Neurospora crassa OR74A: one gene and its partners. The main gene of each other region encodes a partner of the protein of the gene in region 3 in a complex. Links are inferred from orthologs where the notes say so. Each region holds a gene or a part of one and is shown on either strand. Other genes may lie near its edges. The genes, in order: qcr7, qcr8 and NCU16013.

Region 1 (4,444 bases), on a different chromosome or scaffold from region 3:
ACCAGACAGCCCAGGTGGGCAAGTAGCCCATTATTATAGGACCCAAGCCCCTATACATGCCGCGAATGCCCTCATGCCTCCATATTACCTTGGCCGTGCCTACCAGGCCATTGTACATCCTGGGCTGGCCCACATGCTGTCCCGCGCCCTGCGCTTGCAACTTGGTCTTGATAACGTCCAGCGGGCAGGTGACCACGCCGGACATGAAGCCTCCCACTGCGCCGGCGAGCGCATTGAACTGCGAGTCCGAAGCATTCATTGCCCATCTTTCCAGGCCCGTTATCCGGTTGGGGTCCTCTTGCATTGGGTCGGCCGAGGCTGAGTCTATTATCTCCTCTGTTATGTCTTGCCCTGCTGCTGCTGTCTCCTCCAGCTCTTCGGTCACCGAGTTGGCGGGCGCAAAAGTGGCGGGTGGCCGGGCGCCTGGCAAGGAGCGCACGCCATATTCTGCTGCCGAACTCGCGGGATCTGGTCCAGAGTGGGAGATGTGGTGTTGGGTGTCTATAGTAGACATGCCGCTACCCTTCTCTCGACTCGAGTCGGAACTGGGACTGGGCAATCGAGACGCGGGGATCGAGACGAGATGGTGCGTCTTTGTTCGAGGGGTCTCTGCTGGTCGCAACTCAGAGACCCCGGAGTAATCGGTGACCCGTGATGCCGCCGTAGTGTCGGAAAGAGGGTGGTGATCTCGGCTTGTTGGAGCTTTGGAGTCTTGAGAGGGTGGTGTTGATCAGGAAGCTGACGTTCCCGGCTTGAACGGCGTACTAGCGCGGGTGCGGGGAAGAAAGAGGTTCGCTTGGGGGGGACTGAGTCGAAGACCGAGGTGTTGATAACAGGAGTTCACCAAATATCACCGTTCGTCCGTGAGGCTCGGGGCAGCCGGGTTTTTGCGTAGGAGAGAAAGAGGCCCTGGCGCGGATCGTATTTTGGGAACTTGTTGGATTTTTCGCAATTGGTGAGCGAGCACACGAGCAGGCTCGCTACCGTACCTGTCTTTGGTAGAGGAGCTAGTATGCAGGTGAGTGGAATGAAGGAAAGGATGGGCGAATGTGGGGGAAGTCCCGTTTTCCAAAGACAGGGTTTCTTGGCAAAGAGATGGACGATAGTACAAAGTGCAGTGGAAAGAAGCTACACGACTCTTTTCGACCAAGAGGTACAACAGGAACCTTTTTGTGTGCGAATGCCAGACGGAGGCCGAGGACGGATGGTGATGTTGGTGTGTAGATAGGTTGGTTCTTGTTAAGGAAACTACGTAGTTATCTACAGAAACGAACAGCCAACGCCAATGACGGCGGGACGCGGATGCCAATTATGGTTACCAATTATGTCACCTTACTGCAGTGATTGTCCATACCTACCTACCTGCCCGTGACTCCCGTAGGCAGTGAGTGGATGAACAGCAATTCCGGATGCGCTGGGAGCTGCCTCGAATTTCCTTCCCCTCCGAGTCATGAAGACACCAGAAGCAAGTGTTGGTCTAGGGGCCAGAAAGTAGGTGTCCAGATAATCATGTGTTTGTCCAGGTCTCTCAAGTCTCGGGAGTTTTAGACTTCAGACCAAAGACCCCCAGTATGGCCCGTTTTTAACCTTCCCCCAGACAAGAGATGATAGCTATCAGTCGAGATTCCGTTTCACTGCAGCGAAACAGCGCCAGCGGTCACCACCGTCGCCCGCCAAAAAAGCGGCTGCCCTGGTCGTCGTCTCCAATTCTAGACCCACCGCGGCCCATAACATCGACCTCATCTCTGCCTTGGCATTTGGACCGACAGCTCCATGGTAACCCAAACCCTTGCCAAGAAAACAAATTCCCTATTCTCGTAGAGCCTGAGCTTTGAGGCATCAGCCACTTGGACACGGCTTTTCCCGGAGCGACGGGAGACGGGAGACAGTCTAAGAAAAACGCACGGAGCACCCGGAGCTTCTTTCTGAGTGTTCTAGTTGGACAGTGCGCTTCTACTACTGGCTGAAATGGCTGGCTGACTTTCGCGGGTTTGCTGATTTGCGGGTCGCGGCAATTTGTTAGCTCTCTCCGCCCTCCATCTTGAATCTTGACCTTGGTGTTTCCCAAGTGCGTAGAGACCAGACGACAAGAGAGTGTAGACTCCTCACCACCTCGCCTACCTATCACCGACTATCAACCGCCACCCCGGTCGACAATCATCCATCAATCACCATGTCTGCCCCTTCTCTCGTCCAGGCCGTCGCTAAGCGTGGCTGGTTGAACAAGATGCTCAAGCCCGTCTCCAACTGGTACATCAATGCCGCCGGCTACCGTCAGATGGGTCTCCGGTGAGTTTTTGTTGTTTCTTTTATATACCTCGATGGCCAGCAGTCCGGCCCGGGACCCTTGTGACGTAGGCTCTACCTGTATCGAAACCATCGCCCTTCTATGTGTTACGTCTATCCATCTGTCTCTCCTCGGCCCGGTTCTACCTCAATGGCTCGCGCCCCAGCCGCAGTTCCCTCCCTCCCTTCCACATCCCCGAGCAGGAGGACCAACACCCACCCACCCACCCACCTACCTATCTAACTACCTACCACTCACTATACCATATACAACCGACCAACAACCCATAAACTAACCCACCCTTCCTCCCCAAAAACAGCGCCGACGACCTCATCTCCGAGGAGAACGAGACCGTCCTCGCCGCCCTCCAGCGCCTTAGCCCCAAGGAGTCGTACGACCGCATCTACCGCATCCGCCGCGCCACCCAGCTCTCCCTCACCCACAAGCTCCTGCCCAAGAACGAGTGGACCACCCAGGAGGAGGACGTCCCCTACCTCCGCCCCCTGATCGACCAGATCGAGGCCGAGGCCGCCGAGAAGGACGCTCTCGACACCCTGGCTGTCGTCAAGAACTAAGCGCGGGACTTATAAAGGTATGAAAGGGGAAGGAAGGAAGGATGGGAAAGGATGGGAGGGAAGGTTTTTCCGTTATCCGCGCGCGGTGGGAACTGGACTGGCCGACTTTTTTTTTCGACGGGAACGAAGGAACCGAAGAGAAGGGAAAGGCTGGAGTACTGCTACGCTACGCTTAGGATTTGGAAGCCGAGGATACCAAAGCAATAAAGTGGATGCGCTCAAAATAAGAACCGAAACAAAAACTCGTCCCCTCGATTCTCTGGAACCTGGAACTCTTCGACAACTTGCTGCCAATTGCTTTCTGGAGAAATAGGATGAAGGGGGGGAAAAGGTGGATGGGGGAAGATGGACAGTTTGCGATGCAACGACAATGGGCAACAGCCAAATGTTCTTGTCTATGGTTGTGTTCACGCTCCCAGAACCCGCGCATCTCTATGAAGTGGAAGTGGAAGGGGAAAATGCTTTGAGAGGAGATGGTGACGACTGCGAAAGAAAAGACTACCTAACCATTTCTACTTATTAGAAGGAAAGAAAATGGGCAATAGACCTTTATCCTGCATTCTTCCCCCCCCCCCAAAACAACAAGACAACTGAAAGAGAGAAAGAAAAGAAAGGGGAGGGAAGGAAGTGTCTCAGACATGGTAGCCATCGAAATCGACCTCTGCTATGCTGTACGTTGAAGAAGTGTATGTGAGAGTCATGACAAGTTAGATCAAAAAGTAATAAGAAAAAAAAAAAAAAACTCCGCTCAATTCGCAAATACTCTCATTGTCTCTGTGTCCCAAAGAGCCTAGAACTAAGTAGTAGCAGAGGTACGCAACCATGGGAAGAAGTGAGACAATAACCTACGGGAGTGATGGCGGCCATACTGTAGCTGCCTGTCATATCAGATGGCTGCCTACTTTTTAGAGAGCCCTTGTCCAAAGATACCGCCGAAGAAACATTCCTCTTCTCCGAGACTAGGAAATTTATGGCCCAAACCTGCTCTATTTCAGGTGGCTGACGAGGACCCGAGTTTGTGCCGCTCACAACCTTGGTGGCAGTTAGCACCACTCAAAAGTTGTGATCTTGTTCATCGTGTGTACTCAGAAAAAAAAAAAAAAAAAAAAAAAAAAAAAAAAAAAAAAAAAAAAAAAAGGAGTATCACACATGTTTGGGATCAGGCAGCGTTGAAGACTCCAGTATTTTTTTCTTTCGTTTCTGGACGTTGAAGGCACAATTGTGTAAGCCCGCATAATCATGCTGAGGATACACACAGACTTCTTTCTTCTCTCGGTTCCAATGGGCATCATACCAAAATGGCGGCGGGCATATTGTGTTGCGAAAACTGAAAGTGACAACTTAGTTCTCCTTTCGGTGGGTGATATGTGTGATATCTGATGTGTACCAGTCCACCCGACAACAGAGCAGACAGTGTACATACTCTCATTACTACGTTAACTAAAGCTGACCACGTCGAAGCTGAAAAAGAGAAAAAAGAGTAAGCTATCCTACAACAGAAGAAAGAAAAATAGAAAGAAAGAAAACACTACCCGCACACCTAGAGGTAAACAAAACCCCCCTTTTTCTATCATGAAGCAAT
Region 2 (3,741 bases), on a different chromosome or scaffold from region 3:
AAAAGAGTGGCCATTCCTTCACCATTCCCACGTCCGTCAAAATATCAAATCGGATGTCATCTCGAGTGACAAAAGACAAGTCAAGTTCAAAAAACATGCTCCTATTGTAACAAGTGCCTAAGCGGGGAAGATACACAATGCTCATATCATAATAATACAGTCCCATTTTGGTCATTACCTCCCTTTACCTCCGTAGCCTAGGTATCATGGTCCCCTTTCTGCAGAACCATCTTCGTCTCTTTCCCTTACTGATTGCTCCCGTTTACGCCCTGCCAACGTTCATCAACAGATTTGTCCCCTTGCCACCTCCGGGCAGGTACGCCACGTTGGGGTTGGCAGCCAACACCTGGGCAATCTCCCTCGACGCCTCAATCTTTCTGATCTGGATCAAACCATCGCCAGCCTTGGCAATAGACTTGCTGATGGTCTCTGCACTCTCCGCTTCACCCTCGGCGCGGATGACGTTGGCCTGGCGCTCCTGCTCGGCACGCTCGACGATGAAGCGCGCACGCTCGGCATCCTGCTGCGCAATCTGCTTCTGCTCGACGGCCTTGGTGAACTCCTTGCCAAAGGTCATGTGGGTGATGGAAACATCCTCGAGCGCAATGTTGAACTCGGCGGCGCGCTTGACGAGGTCGGCGCGGATGCGCTGCGAGACGGCCTCACGCTGCGTGATGAGCTCGGCGGCGTCGAACTGGGCGACGATGGACTTGAGTACTTCGTTGCCGATGGAGGGGAGGACACGCTCGTCGTAGTCTGGGCCGAGGTTCTGTGGGGATTCCAGTCAGTTCAAGTTCGTTGTGATCCGTCGTAGCCGTCATAAGGGGCAAGTTCTTGTAAACGCACCTGGTAAATCTTGGGCAGAGCCTGCACCTCAGGACGGTGCAGCACTCTGAGCGTCAAGCTGACCATCTGCAAATCCTTGGAGCCGGTGGTGGTAGGGATGATGCGAGGCTTGGTGCGAACATCGAAGATGATGGCCTTCTGCAGCCATGGGATGAGGAAGTGTGTGCCCTCGTTGACGACCGTGTCCTTCACACCGGCAACTCTGTCGAAAATAACCGCCCGCGAACCACCTCTGACGTCGTAGATGGAGTTCTGGAGAAGAGCCACACCAACAGTTGCCGGGATGGCGAACTTGGTGATCATGTCCAACCCTCTTGCCGCCATTGTGAATATCGGTTTGAATCAAGATTAAGGGATCGAACTCGGTTGATGTGGTGGTGAGGGATCTGACTCGAGAGTATTCGTGGACGTCGTTTCCGGGGATACCTCAAGGTGGGCTGTGGGATTATCACACTACAAACACTACGGCGTGGACCGTGGCGTGGATCGTGGTGGTGGTGGTGGTGCTTCCCCAGTTGCAGCAGTAAGCAGCAGTCGTTGCGATGGATGGAGCTTCTGCAAAAAGTGGAGTGCCATGTCCCGTCGCCCGGACCAGGCCCAGCTCTCTCAAGCTCCCCGCATGGCCCGGGGATGTCTTTCAGTGCTTGCGTATGGTGATTCAATACCTATCCTAATGGTCCGTGCACCTTGTTTTGTTCAACAGACGGGCAGGTCGGAAGGAGGCTGAAAGAGAATGATGCTGTAAAGGTACTTGTAGCTTGTACCTTTCCATGCTAATCCCTTTTGAGCCTCCAGCACTCGGGTTTCTGACGGGACTGCCAGTGACGGCTCCATGGCACTTGGCAAATGAAGTGCCAGCCACTCACTGTCGACCGATTTCAGTTCGAACTTCGTCAAACCCGGTTCAACGCCGCGCGAAGCTCTTCCCGAACCTTTACGACGACTGCGTCCTCACCACGACCCGATTGATACCCCCCATAGCGCGTTTCGCGACAACACATATTTCAAGATGCGTCCTACTCAGACCATGCTCGGTGGCGGCGGCGGTGCCCCCATCGGCAAGCACAACCAGTCAGTCTTCCCACTTGTGATTTGGAAGAGCCCGGAACTTCATGGCACAAGCTACCGGCGATGCGCCCTTTTCCCTTTGCGCCGGCTCCCCCTCCGATCCAGCTCTGGATGTTAGCTAACGTGCATGTTGATATAGCTACCTTGGTGGCTGGGGTAACTTTGGTGAGTAGGAACCTTTGCAATTGACGATGCACCGATACCAAACATACGGCAATTCTTCAACAACGGGAAATACCGGGATGGGAGGGAATGCGAATATGAGGGCACGACAGATGGTCGAGCCAGAAGACGAAGAACCTTGATGACCGCCCGCCCACTCGCCCGCACGCCGAACCCTTGACGAACCGATGAGACGACCCCCGAGACAGAACAAGACCATCTAACCCATGTTGTTTTTCTTCCCGACGAACAGGTGGCATGAAGCAGAGGGGCATCATCTCCTACGGTATCAGCCCTAACCGCCAGAACCCCCTCGCCGGCACTGCCCACGACGCCGTTTTCAACACCTTCAGACGTGTCAGCTCCCAGTTCCTCTACTGGGCCCCCTCCCTTGTTGCCGGCTACTACATCATGAACTGGGCTATCGAGCGGTACGTTGCATCACCACCACCCACAGCCCCGAGGGATTTCGATCACGGGGTGGCAAAGGAGGGACCGTTGTTGTCGTCGTTCAAGAGAGTGCCACATTCTAACAGGGCATTCTGCTGGTTAGGAACCACTACCTCAACTCGAAGGCCGGTCGTGCTGAGTTCGCTGGCCAGGAGGAGTAAGCGATGGACTTTACGATACTTGGGCACGGAACCAGAGTGCAGTTCCCGAGAGAGAGAACTAGTACTCAATAGACTAACCTGTATATCACCATCTTTATTCCCACGCGGTTCGAATTGGAGTTGGCATAGACAAGACATGGACCTCTCTTATGGGTATCGGCATGTGCTGGTTTTGGATCTCATACGACACCTGAAACACCACCACCAAGTCGTTTCTTGTTTACATTCGGCTCGACAGATCGCATGTGATTTCCAGCCTTGTCACGATCCTAATCTATCCACGCATCATCCGGACATTCCCTTGGTTAGCTCCAGTTCTCTTGTCTTTGGGTACAATCATTGTGCATCTTGCCGGTCCGCAGGCCAGTCTTTTCGGCGCTTGGTGCTCGTTGGCTGCACTAGATCTTGCGAGGAGAACCATGAGGTAGCGAGCCGGTTCCTTTCATGGAGTTTGATTTTCTTTCTCGCCTCTGGAAGCATGTCAGACGCTGGAAGGCTGAAAACTGTAGCGGCGCCCGGCCTTATGACGTATCACCACGCCTGTGAAGCCGAACGTCCTAGTTCATATACCGTTCCTCTCCCGGGACAAGCTAACCAGCCCTGCTCAGCATTCTCACCTCCATGAATAGGACTGTGAATACTTCACCTTCAAACTCATCATCGTAGATGCCGATACCTATCCAAGGTAAACAATGACGGGAGGTAGGTATGTTCGAAGCCATTTTATATTCAAATTCAAAACTAAACAATGGCACTGCACTAAGCCCCAACTTCCAGACCGCATTTCCAGGGCAACATTCCAAAGTAGGCATAAGTACATGTTAGTTCTCAACTACTATTGGTATGGTGCCTAGTCATGTCATTAGCTGCAGTGCATTTTCCAGAAACGCTCGTGGAAGAAAGAGCAGATCGGTGAAGAAATCCGGCCATACATCCATCAGCCCAACCAACGCAACATTCAGGGGTAATGAATGAAAAGAAACCAAACAAATGCAGGAACGGGTGGCCCAAAAGCGCAAAACGAACCCCCCCCCCCCCCCCCTCCCCCCCCCCC
Region 3 (5,101 bases):
TGTAGTTAGCACCAAAAATAAAAATATACGATAATGACAAACTCAACTATACAATTACAAGAACTATATTCCAGCCCGGCTACGGTGGTCGTAGGTGGCTTAATAGTGGGTGGCCTGGGCCTAGTAGGCTACCTAGGTTGGGAACTCTATGAGTGAGTTAAACCCCAAATCAAAATCCCACCAGCATTGGTGCCTGTGTTGGTGGATTTAGTCCCTACTGCTCCTTCCCCTCCTCCCCCACCTTTCCCTTCTTCTCTCCCTGATAAAGATAATGTTTATCCAGATTTAATTAGTCTGATAGTCGTTTTTGTATTGGATGCCTTGACAGGATGGGCTTCCGAGGTGGAGACTGTTTCGGCAAATTTAAATATCAGAGATCCCCTTACTAATAGCATCATTCCCGTGGATGATGATGTGCTTAATCACGCCAGGCGTCTTTTACGTGGTGCTTATGATACACGGTCTTGGGCTTAACTGATCTTACCGATTCTCAGACCTTTTTTACCTCCAGCTGTTAATTTCCTACTAAATGGGGCCTATAGGACTTTTTTATATTCGACACAATACTTGGCGGATCTTGTGGATATACAAGGTGGGTTGTATTATACTACTTCCACCCTGGCATCTTTTCGCAACCCCCTCCTTTGCTCCGCAAAGGAGGGGGGGAGGTTAAGAATCTAAGTAAGCTTTTTTATAATATGAGAAAGATGACTATTGAAATGAACTATTTCGTGGTACATCTGGGTGGGCAGGGGGGTTATATTATAAATCGTAACAGAGTTTAATTGTAAATCGGGGGACCCCACAACCCGATTTAAGTTCGTAGGTTTATCCACAAGCTTCCTAATCCCCCCTTCCCCCCTGCAGTACTGCAGGGGGGGGGGGGCGAAAAAGTAAAAATTATAAAATATTTAGAGAGGGAGTGGCGTTTAAACCACGTCCACTCCCTCACTCTTAATAAAAAATAATAATAATACCTGCCAGCATAGATATTATTGAAAAAATATTAGTTCCACCGGTTAATTCATAGTTAATGGTGTAGTCATTTCGTGTGCTATTAGTAAATAATGAAGAAAGAATTTTGAATGTTTTTATTTGCTTCATTAATAACTCCTATTATAAGAGTATTTATTATATGTATTGAAATGAGTATTGAATTACGCAGTAGACTGCGTAGGTTAAGTAGAATCCTCCGAGATGAATTCCGTAACGGCTTTAGTTATTTAGATACTGTTCGAGGCCGGGGGACCCGGGGTGAAATCCCCCCGAAAGGGAGGATTTCTTAAGACAATTCGACAAACCTCCTGACCTCTAACACATCGACGGAAATGAATAAAAAAGGATTGCATTGTAGTACAATAGTTTTTGTTTTTATTTGCTTATTATTAATCCCTATTTTAGGGAAATCGAGTACTTAAATATCCTATATTCCAGGACTCCTGCCTCCTGCCTCCTGCCTTCGGCAGGAGGCAGGAGGCTCGTCCTAGTCTAGTCTATAAAATTACTAATATTAAATATATTAATATATTATAAAGAGTTTTAATAATAATAATAATAAGGTGTAGAAGAAGTTTGGTTTAATGATCTTTATTCTTTATATTTTTTTTTTATTTCTTTCATTTTTTTTATTAATTTATTTACCATGAGATTATTAAAAAGTCATCCTTTATTAAAATTAGTTAACTCATATCTTATTGACGCTTCACAACCTAGTAACATAAGTTATTTATGAAACTTCGGTTCTTTATTAGCATGTTGTTTAATTATACAAATTGTAACTGGTGTAACATTGGCAATGCACTATAGTCCTAACGTATTAGAAGCTTTTAACTCTATAGAACATATTATGCGTGATGTGAATAATGGATGATTAGTACGTTACTTACACAGTAACACAGCTTCAGCTTTCTTCTTCTTAGTTTATTTACATATAGGAAGAGGAATGTATTATGGATCTTATAGAGCTCCTAGAACATTAGTTTGAGCTATCGGAACAGTAATCCTTATACTTATGATGGCTACTGCCTTCCTGGGTTATCAACATAGCCCAAAATGGTTTGATATAAGTAATAAAGGTAGTATAAGTAATAAAGGTAATATCACAAATTCGTTGCCCCCCCTCCTCCAGAGGTGGGGGGGAAGAATAAACAAGAGATTGTTTAACAAAAATCTAGTAAAAAGAGGTTATTGTACAAGTAGTTCTTTAAATAGTCCTGAAATGTCTGAAAGATTACAAACGATTATTAATGAATTAGGTATAAACCCTGTATATGTTTATGAAGATTTAAATCAACCTTCCAGTTGAAAACAAATATTACATGATACAAGAGATTTAAGCGGTGTATATATGATAATTAATAAAACAACAAAAGATTATTATATAGGTTCTGCATCCAATAATAGATTTTATACTAGATTCTGTAATCATGTTATTCATTTTACAGGTAGCAAAATAGTTAAATTAGCAATTAAAAAGTATGAATTGAAAAATTTTGCTTTTGTTATATTAGATTTATATCCTAATGTTGTTACCAAAGAAAATAACAAGGAATTATTGGATTTAGAAGATAAATATTTAAAACTATTAGTGCCTAATTATAATATTTTAACCGAAGCAGGTTCTAGTTTTGGTTACAAACATACTGAAATAGATCGTCAAAAGATGAAAGATCTTTATAGTGACGCTAGACGAGAAAAGATAGGTAGTCTAAATAGGGGTAAAAAGTTTTCTCCTGAAACAATAGAAAAAATAAGAGAAAAGGCTTTAACTAGACCTCCTATGTCAGAAGAAACTAAAATAAAATGTATTGCTAATACAAGACCTGTTGTGTTATATAACTTGAATAGAACTATTTACGGTAAGTACTCTACTATTTTAGAAGCAGCTAATGCTATTAACTGTAATGAAAAAACCATTAGAAGAGCACTGCAGACAGAAAAAAAATTAGTTAAAAGACAGTGAATAGTAGAAGATTTTTCTGACAAATAGGTTTTATTCCTTATTATACTTTATTCTTTATTATACTTTATTCTTATATAAACCATAGTCCCATGAGTATAAATCTTTTTGCAATTTTTATAGAAAAAAAAAGATTAAAGTGGTACATCCCGACAGGGATGTAAAATAGTTTTAGTACTATTTGGCGATGTTAGTGAAAACGGTTAAAATCCCTCTACTTATGCTGGGACAAGACCGTCGGTTATATAAATAATCGCTACAGACTGGGTCACTAATGGGTGGCTGAAATGCTGCTTAATGTACAGTCGGAACTTTTAATTAAACAAAGGTATTTAATTAATGGAATACACGAATTAAAAGTTATTCCAGCTTATTATTGATATAATAAGTAAGTACGTATGTTTTACCTTATGGACAGATGAGTTTATGAGGTGCTACTGTTATTACCAATTTAATAAGTGCAATTCCATGAATTGGACAAGATATTGTTGAGTCAAAAATTATTACTTTAATTATTAATTTATCTTTTATTGCTATTTTATTTTCAATTGTAGTTGTGTATTATTATATCTTACTACATGTTAATTTTTCATCTAACCTTCCTACGATAGGTGTTATTCATCAAAACGCTTTAAAGAAATCAAATAAGGCTTTAAGATTAGATAAACAAGAATATATATCCATTCCTTCATCATTTTTAGCTTTTTTAGCTGGATTGGTTGATGGTGATGGGTATATTCAAGTAACTAAAACATCTAAAGGTTTCATAGCAATTAAGTTAGTTATATCTCTTCATTTAGAAGATCTTTCTATTTTAGAATATATTCATTCTGTTTTAAAAATAGGTAAGATAAATATTTATAAGGATTTAAGAAGTCCAACTTGTAAATTAGTAATTAATAAAACGGATCTACAAGAAATATTGTTCCCATTGCTTATGTATAATAAGATTTTTTTCTTAACTAATACTAGAGCAGATCAATTTAACTTAGCTATGTATATATTCAAAAATGATATTAAGATGTATAATCAAATTCCCGATAACACACCTGCTGTTTTTGAGATACCTAAAAATCCTATTGATTACACATTATTGCCTTTTTTTAAAAATTGAATAGTCGGATTTACATGTTCTGAGGGTTCATTTTTTATTAAAAGTAATAATGATGGTTGTTTTCAATTAAAACAGAGAATACATACTAATTTATTTGAAGCCTTTAAACTAATGTTTAATACTAATAGAAAAATAGATACAACAAATAATTTTAATCAATTTGGTGTTAGTTCTAAATCTGATATACAAAAAGTTATAAATTTCTTTTCATTTTCAGGTTTACATCCTTTAGTAGGGTTGAAATATATTCAATATATAAAATGGTTAAATAATTTACGAGAAAGTTTGCGTTATAGTACCTTAAATTATCCTGATGCAAAATAATGCAAGATAGATTGCAAAAGATATAAATTAATAAATGTAATGGGGCTCCTTAAAATAGGTAGGGTTTAATCTTATTATATTTTAGAGGCAAATGGGGAAAATTACAAGGACATTTAATAAATTACCTCCGTTTTATTAGATTATTTGTAGCGAAACTTAATTCGGTATATAAAAAATGGATTAAGAACGTTCAACGACTAATGAGTGAGTTATACCAACAATAAGCTCAACACGATACCCCCAAAATCCACTCTATGAGTGGGTTTAAGATATAGTCTAAATATACCCTTAAGGGTGTAAAGTATAAGTTAAATATTATACGTAATATATTGTCATTTGAGGAGGTTTTAGTGTAAACAATGCTACTTTAAATAGATTCTTTGCTTTACATTTTGTTTTACCATTTATTTTAGCAGCATTAGTATTAATGCATCTGATTGCACTTCATGATACAGCAGGGTCAAGTAACCCTTTAGGTGTTTCAGGTAATTACGATAGAATAACATTTGCTCCTTATTATTTATTTAAAGATTTAATAACTATTTTTATCTTTATATATGTTTTAAGTTCATTTGTTTTCTTTATGCCCAATGTTTTAGGTGATAGTGAAAATTATATAATGGCCAACCCTATGCAAACTCCACCTGCTATTGTGCCAGAATGATATTTATTACCTTTCTACGCTATATTAAGATCTATACCTA

The links.
Region 1: the proteins of NCU16013 (region 3) and qcr7 are in contact, whole or in part, in a cryo-EM structure (PDB 6T15), measured with the Saccharomyces cerevisiae proteins. The link is inferred for Neurospora crassa OR74A from reciprocal best matches to the Saccharomyces cerevisiae genes COB and QCR7. Residues at the interface, in NP_009315.1 of Saccharomyces cerevisiae: Ser24, Ser25, Asn27, Arg107, Ser108, Pro109, Asn208, Pro209, Leu210, Ile212, Thr213, Gly214, Asn215, Leu216, Asp217, Asp309, Arg310, Ser311, Val312, Val313, Arg314, Phe318, Val320, Thr372, Glu374, Asn375, Val376, Leu377, Phe378, Tyr379; in NP_010818.1 of Saccharomyces cerevisiae: Pro2, Gln3, Phe5, Ile8, Ala9, Ile11, Gly12, Asp13, Ile15, Leu16, Cys25, Val26, Val28, Ala29, Asn30, Phe32, Ile33, Leu35, Ala36, Gly37, Tyr38, Leu41, Leu43, Phe45, Asp46, Asp47, Leu48, Ile49, Ala50, Glu51.
Region 2: the proteins of NCU16013 (region 3) and qcr8 are in contact, whole or in part, in a crystal structure (PDB 4PD4), measured with the Saccharomyces cerevisiae proteins. The link is inferred for Neurospora crassa OR74A from reciprocal best matches to the Saccharomyces cerevisiae genes COB and QCR8. Residues at the interface, in NP_009315.1 of Saccharomyces cerevisiae: Ser15, Asp19, Ser20, Pro21, Pro109, His202, Ile203, His204, Gly205, Asn215, Leu216, Arg218, Ile219, Pro220, Val320, Lys323, Phe324, Phe327, Ile328, Phe331, Asn332, Leu335, Gln338, Cys342, Glu345, Val346, Pro347, Tyr348, Met351, Ile354; in NP_012369.1 of Saccharomyces cerevisiae: Thr8, Tyr9, Met10, Gly11, Trp12, Trp13, Met16, Gly17, Gly18, Pro19, Gln21, Gln55, Tyr58, Val59, Ile61, Pro62, Ala63, Ile65, Tyr66, Trp69, Trp70, Gly73, Asn74, Tyr76, Asn77, Leu80, Tyr81, Asn93.

What each region holds. Positions count from the first base shown.
Region 1 is NC_026505.1:5,770,640-5,775,083, reverse strand, and holds qcr7 (ubiquinol-cytochrome c reductase complex protein), read left to right. Parts: upstream 1-1,908; 5' UTR 1,909-2,173; coding exon 2,174-2,289; intron 2,290-2,606; coding exon 2,607-2,862; 3' UTR 2,863-3,630; downstream 3,631-4,444. Other genes in the region: NCU08941 (calcium-binding mitochondrial carrier protein Aralar2), read right to left, coding at 1-514. UniProt on the Saccharomyces cerevisiae protein: Component of the ubiquinol-cytochrome c oxidoreductase, a multisubunit transmembrane complex that is part of the mitochondrial electron transport chain which drives oxidative phosphorylation.
Region 2 is NC_026505.1:5,787,747-5,791,487, forward strand, and holds qcr8 (ubiquinol-cytochrome-c reductase chain VIII), read left to right. Parts: upstream 1-1,755; 5' UTR 1,756-1,855; coding exon 1,856-1,917; intron 1,918-2,053; coding exon 2,054-2,079; intron 2,080-2,329; coding exon 2,330-2,507; intron 2,508-2,629; coding exon 2,630-2,687; 3' UTR 2,688-2,994; downstream 2,995-3,741. Other genes in the region: NCU08946 (hypothetical protein), read right to left, coding at 263-769, 847-1,170. UniProt on the Saccharomyces cerevisiae protein: Component of the ubiquinol-cytochrome c oxidoreductase, a multisubunit transmembrane complex that is part of the mitochondrial electron transport chain which drives oxidative phosphorylation.
Region 3 is NC_026614.1:32,255-37,355, forward strand, and holds the start of NCU16013 (cytochrome b), read left to right. Parts: upstream 1-1,642; coding exon 1,643-2,038; coding exon of another isoform or gene 2,039-2,989; intron 2,990-3,356; coding exon of another isoform or gene 3,357-3,359; coding exon 3,360-3,453; coding exon of another isoform or gene 3,454-4,397; intron 4,398-4,729; coding exon 4,730-5,101. Other genes in the region: NCU16012 (NADH dehydrogenase subunit 5), read left to right, coding at 1-34; NCU16015 (laglidadg endonuclease), read left to right, coding at 1,643-2,035, 3,357-4,397; NCU16014 (group I intron endonuclease), read left to right, coding at 1,643-2,989. UniProt on the Saccharomyces cerevisiae protein: Component of the ubiquinol-cytochrome c oxidoreductase, a multisubunit transmembrane complex that is part of the mitochondrial electron transport chain which drives oxidative phosphorylation.